Struthio camelus: one gene and its partner. The protein of the gene in region 1 interacts with the protein of each later gene in a pairwise test. Links are inferred from orthologs where the notes say so. Each region holds a gene or a part of one and is shown on either strand. Other genes may lie near its edges.

The links. The genes of interacting proteins can lie anywhere in the genome.
Region 2: the proteins of PSTPIP1 (region 1) and protocadherin beta-16-like interact in binary tests that used the Homo sapiens proteins (3 or more experiments, as listed by UniProt). The two-hybrid records come from large-scale screens. The link is inferred for Struthio camelus from reciprocal best matches to the Homo sapiens genes PSTPIP1 and PCDHB14.

Annotation. Positions count from the first base shown.
Region 1 is NC_090953.1:22,311,079-22,318,698, forward strand, and holds the start of PSTPIP1 (proline-serine-threonine phosphatase-interacting protein 1), read left to right. Parts: upstream 1-4,607; 5' UTR 4,608-4,913; coding exon 4,914-4,946; intron 4,947-7,620. UniProt on the Homo sapiens protein: Involved in regulation of the actin cytoskeleton. May regulate WAS actin-bundling activity. Bridges the interaction between ABL1 and PTPN18 leading to ABL1 dephosphorylation.
Region 2 is NC_090954.1:22,385,974-22,393,316, reverse strand, and holds protocadherin beta-16-like, read left to right. Parts: upstream 1-4,331; 5' UTR 4,332-4,467; coding exon 4,468-6,963; 3' UTR 6,964-7,317; downstream 7,318-7,343. Other genes in the region: protocadherin beta-15-like, read left to right, coding at 2,160-2,279. UniProt on the Homo sapiens protein: Potential calcium-dependent cell-adhesion protein. May be involved in the establishment and maintenance of specific neuronal connections in the brain.

The sequences.
Region 1 (7,620 bases):
TCTGGATTTGACCGTCCTCAGGTTAACACGTTTCCATTAGAAACGTACCACTGAACGATTAGTCTTACAGAAACTGAGCAAGAATTGCTGAGACAAAACCAGAATTTTCTTGGTATAGTTTTTTTTTTATTCATGAAACAGACGGAAGTCCTATTTCCTTGAGAGATAGTAAGAAACAGCTCAAAGACAATATTCTCCTCCAGAAACTCTGCAGATATTTTGGGAGAACCTGGGGGGATCCAGGTCAAGGAAAGTCACAGCTGGGGAGAAGTCAAAGTCCTCACTGGTTAAAATACACACCAAAATAGGAAAAAAAAAAACAACCAAAAATCAAAACCCTGTAGAAACGAAGTTATAGGATGAAAATGAGGGATGCTTGAGGATGCATCAAGCCAAAAGCCCTGCAAGATCCATTTGTCCTCAGAAAAAGGTGGATGCGGGCAAATAACCCAGTGGAGAAAGCGGAGCATGTCATCGCACTTTGGGTGCTCTCCCGGGCTTTGCTGCACTGCAGGGCCAGGGCGCCTTCGGGCGCCAGGGCTGGGGCACGCTGGGGCCACGGCCCAGCTCCTCGTCAGTCAGCCTGAGGAGTGGCATCCTGTGCTTTCTGCGGAAGGAGACCAAATGGGGGCAAAGGACAGAGCAGCACCATGCTCCCGCAGGAGGGGACCCGGCCGGGGAACCCACCTGCCTGCAACTCAGCATCATCCTGGCTTGTGGCAGGAGAACGGGGCAAGACACAACAGCTCTGTGCCCAGAGGCAGCTGGCTTTCTTCTCAGGTCTCACATATCTCGTTATTTTTTGACCTGGAAAGCCCCAGCCAGAAGTCCCCCATCTTCCAGCCAGGCCATGCACTCTGAACAATTTATCTGACCATTAACCTTCATTTGATACAGATAATTTCCACGCTCAAGAGTATCAAAGCAGAGCACTTAACCCTCAAGCATCTTCAGCAGATGCCGGGGGTACAGAAGGCTGCAAGTACTGCTTTTTTACTTTCATCCTGGTTGCCGTGTATCTGTGGCCCCAAACAGCCTGGCTGTGACGCCTAACGAGTGAGGCTTGCTATACTTGCTATGTGCTACTCAAAAAGACATTCAACTCCATGCAAAATTACGCGCTCAGTGTAACCATCATTAGTGAAATTTCAAACTGTGAGTGTATCGGTGTCTGTCTTCTGCCAGTGCGTGATGCCCCTTTAAACAACTTGTCCCTAAAGAAACTACTCAAATCACTCCGCTCTGCTATGTTAGGAAGCCCCCCATGAAAACCCACCGCTCAGCCCAGCTCTGTGTTGCCAGTTAAAGGGTGTGTCAAATAGACATGACAGGTCTCCTTTTCTCTCCTCTGCACACCTTTATCGTAAAAACAAGAGTAGGAGCAGTAAAGCAGAACGGTGCTGATGAAACGAAACAAAGCACAGGGAATTAAAGTGCTTTTCAGAAACAGATTTACTGTAAATCCCGGCCAGCAAGGCACGTATACCCACATTGTACTAAAATGTATGCTGTGATTAGATTGTGTGTGATAAAAGGGTTTTCAGCAAGACAGGGTATTATTTGTCTTACTGCGGATGTATAATTGTTCTAGTGAAGCATCCATTCTAATGGCCTTATTCTTTCTCTTTCATTTTCTTTTTTTAAGAGAATTTTTGTTCTCTGAAGCTTTTTGTTTCTCCATTATGACTTCCCATCCCTCTTTAGAGAAAAAGCTGAATAAGAAAGAGTGAGACCTCGATTCACAATGGCACAGAAAGGCTCAAGAAGGACTTGGGTTCCCAAACACCCCCGTGAATGCAGGCCCTGCTGTCCCTTTGGCCACTTCCAGAACATTAAACCGAGACTTCTGGAGGGCCAGACCCATAGGATAGTGTGCTCAAAGCACCTGAAAAGCTTGCTACCCAGCCACTCGCTAGCATCGCTCTTGACCTGACTGATGACATTTTTACTTCTGCAACTAGAAACCTGCTCCTACAAACCTGTATTTACAGCAGTCCAGTTCAGATTTAAGTTTATTAGCTATCCACTGTAAGACTTTTTGATAGTCTTTGGTGCTTTGGCTTAAGGAAGAAAAGGAAAATTTTTCTATTCCAGCTTTCCTGAGCCCAGGCATTGCTAACGCAGGGAGGGGATACCCCCAGGACTACGCAGCCTCCTCTGCGTACCAGTGCCATCCGTCGCCAGCTGCAGTGAAAGGTTTTTACACGCTGGCCAAGCCGAGATGGTGATGCTGAGCACAGAGGAGGAGAGCTGCGTTGGGCTTGTGCCTCTCTGGCTGGTTGACCACGTGTTATTATTACTCATACCGTGGCAGCTGCGAAGCAGAACAACCGGGAGAAGGTTCTCAGCAACCCTGCCCCAGGCCTGCAGCTCTAGCACTGACGTCTAAGGCCGTGACCATTTGGTCACTGTAGGTTTCACTTTCTTCAGCTGTAAAATTAACATAATTCTCCCCCTCCTTTAAGAGCACTGCAAAGCTTGGCAACCCGTGCGAGCGGCAGGAGCCTTTGACCATAAGCCAGGCACACGGTAACATGTGAGCTGCCCCCAGGGACAGCGTCAGATGAAGCAAGCGCCCAAGAGCTCTGCTTCATCGGAGCTAGAGGCCGGGCCTCCCGCCACCTAACTGCAGCCAAGCCACCGAAATACTTGAGCTAGGAACGCAGACGCTCTCGACTCTTCTGCAGCCAACGGAAAGAGACACACACGCACTCACAGAGCAAACCTACCTGCCTGTTTTTCTGCTCTGACTAGAAAGGAAACTCTGCCTGCCACGCTCCTAGCGGAGGTTACGGGGTTACGCAGGCTTCGCTGGGTGGGACAGACCCAGCACGGAGCTCAGCACTAGCCTGAATCCAACAACTGGCTCTTTGGTTTGGGCTCAAACTGAAAATAATGCAAAAATAACAAATCATTTTGCATTGATCTAAACACATTTTTGCATTCACTATATGCATTTTTTTTATAAACTCCAGCAGCAGCAAAACTATCAGTTTCAAAACAAAGCTGTAAGTTGCAAATAAAATGATGAAATGCTTAGGTTTAGAAAGACATAGATAAAACATTCTTAAAAAGACTTCTTTTTTTAAAACAGATCAACTATTACGACCTGACCTCAAAATGCATTTTCGCAGGGAATTTTTACCCTTGGAAGACAGCTTCACTTCCTTCTCCTCAACACCCTTTGCAAGTGAATCCTCACTTTTCTCCTTCTCCCTCCCTCACGTGATGGTGCTTTTCTCTTGCCTCTCACGGCAATCAAAGCAGTTTCACACCTCTGGCCCAGCAAACGCTTGCTTTCTTTTGCCCTCCTCTGTTTTCGCTTGCTTTCCCCCCGCAGAACCGCTGCCCGTCCCCTGCGCCCTGCGCCGCTGCTCCTCTCCAGACCGCCAGGAAGGGAACACGGCCGTATTCTCCGCTTCCTAGGAGATCGGTTCCAGTAAATTGCTAGTTAAGTGACTACGCGTAACTCCAGCCGCCGACTGCTGAGAGACCTCTCTGAACAGATCTTTGTGCCCAGCTGGAGCTCAGCGAAGGTAAGAGACATCCTCGCCCTAAAGACGCCCGCCCACGCGCCCGGCGCTGCAGTAAGAAGGAAGCGAGACACGGGCATCCCGATGTGTTGTTGGCGTGGAAGTGAATAAAATACTATGAAGATGCACTTCTTCATAGTCAGCTAAGGGGGGAGGTTTTTCCTTCCTTTTTTTCCCTTTCAGTTTTCCTGCCCTATCAAAATTCATGTTAAAATACAGATTCCTTAAAAACTTCTGAGGGGGTGAGCAGACAACTTCTCCTGTAGAGCAGGCGTTCGGAGGAGGGTTTTATGGATGCGTTAGACGTATTACACTATTATCAATTATTTGTGGACATACTGTAATGAATCTGTTAGCCTATTTAGCTAGCTGTTTGAAATACTTCATTGTGGCGCTGCAGTGGGTGTGCTGATGGGGCACGGCCAGGCCAGAGAGCCCTTCACCCGGGGCCTCGCGCTAACTCTTATCCCAATGTCCTTCCCGAGTTTGGGTTTTACTTTTCAGTTTCACATACCCTCTTTATTCATACAGTTATTTACATGAGGAGATGCAAATCAGAGCATTTCCAGATACACCTAGAGGATCTCTACGCACACGTGCACACACCTGTACACTTTGCAATGGCCGTAGCTTAGCTGGAGTCTTGAAAAGCATTTTCAGTTGCAAAATGCAGCTTTGCAGCTCTGTGAGTGTACACACACACTCCTGTGAGTGTGTGTGTATACATATATACGTATATATATACACATATACATGTGCCTCTACCAACCTCAGAAGGTACTGGAGAAATGTGGCACATCCTTTTCTTTTTAATCTTTGTAACACCGCAGAGTTATATCGCAGTTTAATTTCCTCCCCCGTTTATCTGTTTGTATTGTGCTGGTTTCATTTGTGTTTTAATTGCTCCCCCTTCTGCAGTAGCTGCTCAAGTCATATCACTGAATTTTCTTCTTTTCTTTTCTTTTTTTTCTTTTTTTTTTTTTTTCCTGCAAGCAGCTCGCATGCACACACATGGCAAGGAACAAACTGACATCACTTGACATCTCCTTGCTTCCTCATTTCAATATTAACTGCTCACCAGAAGAGAAACGGGTCTGAGGCTAGGGGCTGAGCGTGTGCACGTCTCCCTGTGTGAGCAAGAGCCTTTCTTCCCCTCTGCCCCTTCCCCTCTCCAGGTCATTATACTGAGCTGCCTGAAATTGCCCAATGCTGGTTTTCACCAGTTTGACTGTAGAGAGCCAGGAGCGTGGATGTGTTTCACTTTCTGCTTGGGCCGGGCTACAGCGACAGCTCTGAAGCTGAGTGCCGCCGCTGCTGCTGCTCTCTTCTGAGAACAAACTTCTTGCTGACAGATTCCTTCCGCTCTGCAAATCGATAATAATGACACAGCTGCAGTTTAAAGATGCGTTTTGGGTAAGTGAGCATCTCCTCAGTATTTCCTGTGTTAAATGTATCTATACTTAAAAATAATTTAAAACACAGCTTACTTTTAAATAGAGTTTAAATCTAATTTAATACTTTTCTATATTTTAAATTTAGTTGAGTAAAAAAAACAAATTTGCCTCCATGCAAAAACATACTGTCTGGGTAGTTTAAGCATTCGGTCTTAAACAGAAGGAAGCTTTGTAAAGGATTATGTCTAATTCACACGAACAACTGACATTCCTAATTTCTAAGCTATGTCCAAACATTGTTTTTGGAAAGGACATGGATTTGTCTGTCTCATTGTCCTAAGAGCGCTTGCTTGCAGCGAGTACCCTCAGTTTTTAGGAGCGGCTCCTCCGAGCAGGTGAACTGCTACCCGTTACTATATAAATTCTCTAGCGTTTGCATGTAGAGTTGAGCAGCACCTGCAAAGGCAACCAGCGATATGCAAAACGTTACTGCTCACCCGTGCCTGCTCTTACATGCAAAAGCGTGTGCATGAGGCATTTAGGGTGTGCAGGAGTCCTAGGGCACCATAGGTGGAAAAAACTAGCCGTGAGGTTGAGAATGAAGCCAGAACTCTCAGAACTGGCTTAAAAACGGTGGACACTAAAGCATGCAGATATGCTCGGTTCTTATTTGACTTTCAGTCGAAGCATCTCTGGGTGTCCTGTTTTCGTGCTCTTTCTCTGCGGTTACAAGGGGGGAAAAGCTCTAGTCATTTATCTGGCAAGTATAATCTGAGATTCTCTTGTAGTTGCTTCTGGGGCTGAGGTTTCAAGGGAAAAAACAAAACAAAAAACAAACAAACAAACCCCCCACATGTAGCAAGTTTGGAAATACAGGATGTCCCTTGGTTGCCTCCTGTCTCAACAATCACTTTTCCAACATCAGGGATTGGCATATATATAAAGAGACAAAGGCAGGTGAATTCTTCCTGCCATTTGCCCATCAAGCTAGGTCAAATGGACCCTCCACGGTGCCTGTGCTTTTTGTGCTGTTCTTTCAGCCCACCCTCCCTCCAGGATAAACTCTCTCTTAGTAAAACAGATGGGCAGACCCAAGAACACATTTTGGTAAACCACCTTCCCTCAGACGCTTCCAGGAATCCTCCCTGCCCCCACTATAGTACTAGGTTTGAACAGCTAAAAGTAATGTAATGAGGAAATACCAAAATTAGTTTTCATTTAAAAAAAAAAAATTAATGGGTTCATTGATTTTCATTTTCACCACACCTACGGGAGATTCTCCCCACCTGTTCTTCTGCAAGGTTACCAACCACATAGTGAAAAGCACAGCGCAGGGCATAAAACATAACCCCGTTCTACTACAGAAACTTCAGCTTTTGCATTTCTGAACTTCCTTCCGAATTGTGCAATCTTACTTTAGAACTGATACATTTTGTATATTTACTGTGTTTAGTCATGTTAGCAAGAGTATAATCCCTTCTTGGCTTTGAAGTGCATATTTTCTTTAAAGGAAAGGATCTTTTTTTCTAATATTGTTTGGCTGAAAACATTCTATTGCCAGGCTTGATTAAGAGGGCATGATGTATCCTGTGTGCTATGATAGTCTTAGCTATGCAATAAAAAGCATTTTAAAATGAAAACTTGCAGGATATTGCACAATGAAGCAAAAGAGTACAGCTTTCCCCCCCAAATCGCAAGCTCAGCAATTATTTTTGCATTCACAAGATTCTGTTGTACCCATTAGCAAGACGGAAACATATTTGCTCAGTTTGCTTTGGTGGGCAATTGTTTCCTTTATTCAATTTGTATCATGAATGGAGACCGTCTTCATGATTAAAAAACAAAAAGTACATTTGCATCATAGTAGATCACTCAAAACAGATGCCTGAGCTCCGAGACCTGCCTGAGGACAACGCTGCACCCCTGCCGGGGACTCACCCTGACTAGGTATTCCTAGGCAACAACCCCCTGCTTTTATTTCAGTAGGCTTTTGGATAGGCAGAAGTAGCTCGGGTACCCGACACAATGTAAGATATGTACGTTTTTGCGGTGAACACAAACACTAAAAGCAGCAGATCTTCCCTGGCTAGCAGAGAAATTGCATCATTAATTCTTCCCCAAAGTCTCTCAAACTTTTTTGAGGATAGGGTGGGCTATCTCTCAGGAGAATGTAAGCCGTTGCTTGTAACTGGTATAATTTTTAATTTCTCTTCCCCCCTACTAAATGTAGCAATGATAGGATTGTGCTAGTGGTGTCACGCTTGTGCTATTTTTTGTTTTACTTTATCAAGTCCTGGGCTAAAACTACTATATTTTTTAATGCCGTTTTCTTAGCTTTTACATCCTCCACACACTCAAGTAATGGTTTAAGGGAAGGTTGCTCAAAGCCTCCAGTAAAATGTGTTTCTTCAGCAGAAGTTTCCTGTCCTCTGACAATATTTCTTTTGAAAATTTTAGGGAGATTAAAATAGGAATCAGTTTTGATAGCCAGTGCAGAGCAATTACTAATGGATTAATATTCTGCTGTGCTGCTGTAAAAATGTAACAGATGTTACCTGTCTTCTCTAACATCGTATTAGACAGCTAGGTAAATTTCCGTATTAATGAGGAGCACGTCTGCGATACCAGCTGAGTTTCACGTTAACAGAGTTATGTTACTAGACAGAGATCTGAGTAACGTTCAATTTACTGTT
Region 2 (7,343 bases), on another chromosome or scaffold:
TGCTATTCTCGTCTCTTTGATCTGTCAGATCCAGCAAGAAAAGTTAATGGCTAGTTAAGGAAAAACAAATTGGAGCTGCCAAGCAATTTGCTGGACACATCTGCCATTTAGAGACTTCTCTGTGGTCTCGGTATAATCTGAAGAATAGTCAGGTATCTAAGCTTATCTCTGCTTTATCTGATGGGTGTTCCTGAGGAAAGTTTGAACAAGCTGCAGCTAGTATACTTGAGACTTCTTTGCGGATTAAAAGAAGTCCGAGAGACAGAAGAGCAAAAAAGAGGTATCTGATTATCTGATTCCTCTACCTACAAGCTGTAGCTTGAATCTACTAGGTGAATGCCTTTCAATTCCATGCATTCAACCGTACACATCCTCTTCTTCGGTCCAAGGGCTGCCATTCGCCACTGCTGGCCCTTATATCCTCCCCACAAATGCCGTGGATTTCCCTGTGCTCCAGTGGAGGTTGGGGTAAGTGAAATGATGGCAAGCAGTGGACAGGAAGCAAGATACAGGGGAGATGCAGCCCAAAAGCATCCACAAGCCGCCGAGGAAGAGGAAACTGAGGAAGAACCAGGGAGAGAAGGGAGCAATGCTGAGAGAAGTTGAGGAGTAACACAGCCCCGCCCAGCTTTGGCATGTGCTGTGAAGGTAAGGGCTGAGATGAGGGAGATTCTGGTGTTGTGTACAGGAGTACTAAAATAGTAACGGAGGTTGTAACGTGCCGCTGCAGGGAGCCCGAATCCTTTACAGTGAACACTTCACTCTTTTATCTCCAAAACATCCTTCTACTTGCAGGGGCAAGAAAGCAGTCTGTAAAAATATCCACCACCTGAAAGGAAAGGTCGGATCCTGCAGCTGATTTCAGTGGCTCTAAGAAAAATACCTGTTTTACTCCTAGTAAATACTGAAAATGATTTCATAGTGGGATTTTCTGACGGTTCACTAAAATGCAGATTTATACTTTAGGGAGTATGTTTAAACAGTTTAAGCCAACATTTACCTTATAGTGTCCTCAAGTATTTGTATGTTGCATAAGTCCTGAATAAATTAAATAACATTGGTCATTAAATTCCATTGTGTTACGTAAAAAAGAATTTCAGTTTTGTTCTGCTCTAAGGAGGAAGGTATTGGTACGGGATATTAATTTCCTCGGGCCAATCTATCACAATTTGGTTTCCTACCGGTAGGATAGCCACATCATCCGCAATGAAGTACCCCACATCCAACCCAATGGATGGCTGCTGCATAGCTAATACTGATCAGCCAACAGCTGTTAGTGGGCCTAAGATATAGCTCCTGCAAGGGAGCAAAGGGCTTTGAAAGGGCACGGAGGAAGTTAATGGACATCAGATGAGATCTCTCTTGCTTGCGACACTCCTTCTCCCTCTGGGCTGCATAGCCCAGTGTTTGTGGCATTTACGCAGCTGAAGGGAGTTAAGGTCTTCCAGATGCGATGTAAAGTAGGAGCCTAAAATGGGTCATGTCTGAGGTTCCCTTTAACCTCTTGGCTGTTTGAAGAGCATGGGAAGACAGACTAAAGATGGTAGTTAAAACAGCTCCTGTGACTTCTCCGTCTCTCCTTATTCTAGCATTGAGACCATGTCCCCTTTTAGCTCAGATTTTAGAGTTTCCAGGGATCCAGCTACCTCAGCATTTCATGAGGGTCCACACAATAAACAGCTATGATGATGAAGACCCCTCCATATGCCTTCTCATGGTCACCCCACAGCATCTCCCTGTTTAATTATCATTGAGTCAGGGAAATCTTCCACCTGCATTACTTCAGGTTCTCACATAACTGTAGTCACAATGACTTCGGGGGGAAATGAGGACCCACCTCGAGATATCAACATTAAAACACATTTTCTTTTTGTATGAAAGTTATTTTATTTTAGGATCTTCCCATTATATAGTCCCCCCTTCAGACTCATAAATGGTTTTCAGTGGTGCCCTTGGGATATCCACAACGAGGAGGATGTCTTTAGGCTTTAGCTTTGCCCCCTTTGGGTCAAAGAGGCTCCCCTGTCCCCCTCCTCCTTTGTCTCTGGGTAGAGAAGAGTACCAATGATATAACGCAGGTCCAGAAACCTGGGCACTTCTCGCTGACATCTACTTACTCTCAGCCTCCAATTGACAGCCCTCCATTCTGTTCTTTGCAGAGCAGAGCTCCGTTCTCTGAAGACACAGGTCGTAGGCCTGCGGAAGCAGGTTGCGCTGCTAACAAGGTGATAGGAGTAAATGACATTCCTGATCAAAACCCTTGGCTCACCCATCAGTAGATGAAGACAAGCATGTCTGTCCTCATTGTTTAACGGCCTCATGGAGAAATGAAAACGAAGAGATAAAATATGCACGCACAAAAAAAAAAAAAAAAAAGCCAAAAAGGCACAAGTCGTCTCTGCGAGAGAGCAAGAACACTCTCCTCTTATGTAGTACCTTGTTCACATAGGTATTTTGCAGCTGTAATATGGATGGAGAAGGACTGTGTTGCATGTTAATTACACCGAGTCTTGATGCATGACTGTGAGAGTGCTACTGTTTCTGAACATTATGGGAAATACGAAAACCAGAAGCAGATCTTCAAGAGTAATTTCTCCTTCATCATCTTTTCTGTATTTTTTTCCTTATGAAGAGAGTTCTGTAATAATATCTTAATTTTCTGCAGTCTGCTCAATGCCACGCCAAATACTTATTAAACAACATGAAGTTACGTGTGCAAGGGACCTCTTTAATAACAAGCAGAAGCTGATCACATTAGAATTGGCTGACTTTAGCACACTTTGCCTATTAGAGCAAGAGTTTATAGATTCGCTGTACTGTAAAAAGTGGATGTTTCTTTCATAATTTAAAATAGAAATGAGCAGTTATAGAGCATTTCAGGATAGCTGAGTGCAAGGTGGTAGAGAATTAGAAGTAGTATTAGTGGTTTTACAGTAAAATAGGTTAAAACTTTTATAATAAAGATAAGGCACTGTAAAATCCAGTGAGTCCAGAAGCTTTCTGTGTTCTTTTGCTTTCATTACTCGGCACTGAAATATAAAGTCGTGATACTTCCTGTTGCTCACACGTTTTTAAGAGTCAAATATCTGATGACGAAAAAACAATAAAACCTACTTGCTGGATCTCCCTCGGGTGAGTGTTCTGTGTCAGTCTGTGTTTGTTGCTGTTCACTGCAGCGAAGCTTCCAGTCCACGAGTATGATGTTAGTGCAGTGATATCTAACGACTAGTTCTCAGCTCAGCAGGAGGGCGCTCCGCGGCTGTTAGATACGGGAGGAAAGAGCTGTGCTAGGAGTTAAGGAGCTCTAACGACCTTCTCTAAAGTGCCTCGGAGGTCACCTGTCACAGCCATTGCCGAGGAAATACCCCAAGAGCAGTATTGCAGGAACAAAACGGAGCATTTTGGAGTGGATTTTATGCAGGGAAAATCAGAACACCCTGGGGGAAGGCTGTGCTCAGGAGCCACAGCAGGAAGCAGAGGCTTTGTCTGAGCTAGGCGAGTTCTCTCCTGAGACCCAGGATGCAAGAGATGCCGCTCTGAAGCCCCTTTCACAACTGCTCCCAGCCTCAGGAGTCGTAAATCGGCATAACGGTCTCGATCCATGCCAGAAATCCTCCCCAGAATCACTATCAGGAACGATGTAGCCATGGTTCATGGACCAGCTCTCTTTGGATGCTGGGCAGCTATAACAATACACAGTTTTTTAGTTAAATGGCCTTCAGGGACGACTCAGGATCTAGTGCTGGCTACCCAGGTGACTGCCCTCGTCTCTGATGATTTCAAGAGGAAGGAAAGCACCTGTCTGATACAGCCTCCCAGCCGCTTCCCTTCCATCACCTCTGATATCGCCAGCGTTTCCATTCCACCATCCAAGGATCACGGACATCTGCAATATTTCCGGCTGTTGACACTACTGCGGATGGCAGAAATCTGCTTCTAAACTCAGAAGTTTAGATTCGCAAAAGCTATTGTGTGAGTAAAAAAAGGAAAAAACAGAAGAGGAAAAGGTCGGGGGCTATTTGGGGAGGGGATCTATTTCATCCCGATGAAATTCATTGAATAGCCTAAGTGATGCTCTTGGAGTTAAAAGTTATAATATTAATCAGTCAGTGTCCAGACTTTTAAGAGATGTGTGTAGGCAGTTAAATCTGTACGCTCTGAACTTTGAAGAGAGGAATCGAGCGGTCTGTTTTGTCGGCTTTGCACTGGGAAAATATCCCCGTCCTTTGGCACGTCGGCCGCGTGGTGCCGCTGCTGACCGCGAAGGCGCGGAGGCGCCGCGCAGCTCCCGGCCACTGCCGCCGCCGCGCAGCTCGGCCTGGCGAGGCGGTTCGCGGGGCTGCACCTTCCTGGGGCTGCTGTGCTCGGGGGGCGCCAGGCTCAGATCCCTGCCTGCCAGATCGACGGAGACGCATCCATAGCTCCTACTTAGCTCACAGGGGGAGGAGAGCGCTTCCGGAGGCGAAAATGGGGCTGAGAAAAAGTGAGGAACCACTCTCAGGGCGAACGGTGCCTGTGATCCTGCTCCTCTGTGTGTCGGGGGTGAGTGCAGAAACCATCCGGTACTCTGTGCCTGAAGAGGCGGAGAGAGACTTCTTTGTGGCGAATATAGCAAAGGATTTGGGACTCACGGCTGAGGAATTATCGGCTCGACGAGCCCGGCTCGTACCTGAAGGAGAACAGCAATATTTACAACTGAACCAGCACACTGGAGATTTGTTTGTGCAAGAAAAGATGGATCGAGAGGCGCTGTGCGGGCAGAGCGAGCCTTGCCTGGTGAGGTTCGAGGTGTTGCTAGAAAGCCCACTGCAGTCCTTCCGAGCCGAGGTAAGCGTCAGCGATATAAACGATCATGCTCCCATGTTCTTAAATAGGGAGATGATTTTAAAGATCCCGGAAAGTGCAATGCCGGGAGCTCGATTTTTGCTGGAAAGTGCTCAGGATCCAGATGTGGGGAATAACAGTCTCCAGCACTACCACATCAGTTCGAACGACTATTTCCGTATCTCCACCCTGCGGCGGAGTGACGGCAGGCGCTACGCCGAGCTGGTGCTGCACCGAGCTCTGGACAGGGAGGAGCGGGCAGAAGTCACCTTCAGCTTCACGGCTGTGGATGGCGGGTCTCCACCGCGTTCTGGTACATCCTTGATCCGCGTGCAAGTTTTGGATATAAACGACAACATCCCGGTATTCACCAGGAGTCTATATAAAGTCCGAGTGCCTGAAAATAGCGCTGAGGACACCTTAGTGGTGGGGGTGTCTGCTAGCGATTTAGACGCAGGAAAGAACGGGGAAATAGCGTACTCCATCGTTCCAAATTCAGAGGAGAATCACCAGACTTTTAAAATAAATCCAGAGACAGGGCAGATTCGACTCAAAAACCCAGTGGACTACGAAGAAACAAAGACCTACGAGATAGATGTCCAGGCCACGGATGGAGGCGGCCTGTCCGCGCACTGCAAAGTTCTGGTGGAGGTCGTTGACGTGAACGACAATGCCCCCGAGGTGACCATCACCTCCCTCACCAGCCCCCTCTCGGAAGCAGCCCCACCGCAGACCGTGGTGGCCCTGTACAGCGTGCGGGACCGGGACTCGGGGGACAACGGCAGGACGAGCTGCGAGCTGCTGGGCGACCTACCTTTCAGCATCGTGGCGCTGGCGCTGGCAGACTCGTACGCACTAGTGACGGCGGAGGCGCTGGACCGGGAGCACCACGCGGAGTACAATGTTACGGTGCGGGCCCGTGACGCGGGGGTCCCGGCGCTTTCCGCGGCGCAGACACTACTCGTGCGGCTCTCGGACGTGAACGACAACGCGCCCATCTTCACCCACGCCTCCTACACAATGGTGCTGCGCGAGAACGAGCCCGCGGGGACGAGCCTGGGCCTCGTGAGCGCGATGGACGCGGATGTGGGGAAGAACGCCCGCGTGAGCTACGCACTGGTGCCGCCCGAGCCTGGCGCCGCAACTGTGGCCTCCTTCGTGTCGGTGGACGCGGACAGCGGGGCTGTGCGGGCGCTGCGCCCGCTGGACTACGAGGAGGTGCGCGCCTTGCAGGTGGTCGTGCGCGCCGTCGATGGCGGCTCGCCGCCGCTCAGCGCCGAGGCGGTGGTGCGCGTGGAGGTGCGGGACGAGAACGACAACGCGCCCGTCGTGCTGCACCCGCTGCCCAACAGCAGCGCGGCGGCGGGCGAGCTGGTGCCGCGCTGGGCGCGGGCGGGGTACCTGGTGGCCAAGGTGGTGGCGGTGGACGCGGACTCGGGGCAGAACGCGTGGCTGTCGTACGAGCTGGCCAAGGCGACGGAGCCGGGGCTCTTCCGCGTGGGGCTGCACAGCGGCGAGGTGCGCACGGCGCGGGCCGTGGCGGAGCGGGACGCGGCCAGGCAGAGACTCGTCGTGCTCGTGAGGGACAGCGGCCAGCCGCCGCGCTCCTCCACCGTCACCCTCAGCCTCGCCCTGCTGGAGGGCTTTTCCGACGCCTTCCTGCAGCTTTCCCACGCTCCTGCGGGCAAACCGGAGGGCGACGGCGACGGCGACGGCGACGGCGACGGCGACGAGGAGAACCTGCTAGCCCCCTACCTCGTCGCTTCCTTGTGCTCCGTCTCCTCTCTCTTCCTCTTCGCCGCCGTCGCCTTTTCGGGGGCGAAGCTCTGCAAGGGTCGACTACGAGGAAGGCGTTCACCTGCCTCTGCGCACGGTTACGCCGCTGGCGATGTCTGCAGTAGTTTTGCGGACGTGGCCGGCGCGGGCACTCTGTCGGCGGCTTACGGCTATGAAGTGTGCTTGAGCACCGGCTCGGGGAAGAGCGCGTTGCAGTTCCTGCGAGCCGTCCTCCCGAGGCCGCCTCTTCCGCAGAGCTGCGCTGAGGCGGGCAAGCCCAGGGACGAGGAACTCCTGTCCCACTCCCAGCCGGCTTGTGAAGGGGAACTTAATCAGGTGAGAACAGCCCCTCCGTATGTTTAGTTCCCCGCACCTCCTCGTCCCCTCGCCCCATCACCCCTTCCTTTCTCCTCCCTCCCCCACCGCTCCCCGCCGGATACTTCTTGGAATACCATGACGCCATGGGAGGCGCGTCTACGAGTAAGCCTTCCTGGGACCGAGGGAAAGCCTGATTAGTCCCACCAGGGGAAGAGCCCTTGACAAGTGTTTCGGGTGGAAATGCGAGGGACTGCCTCAGGCAGCCACGTTTGCACAGAGCAGCACATCCCGAGTCATCTCTCTGCGGTCCAGAGCGGCAAAAGACGTAGTGGAGTTAGCAGGCGTGGTGGGGGCATTTGGGAGAAACAGCTAACTGTACGGTAATCTGTATGTTCATGCGCTTTGCTTACAGTCCCGGGGAATGG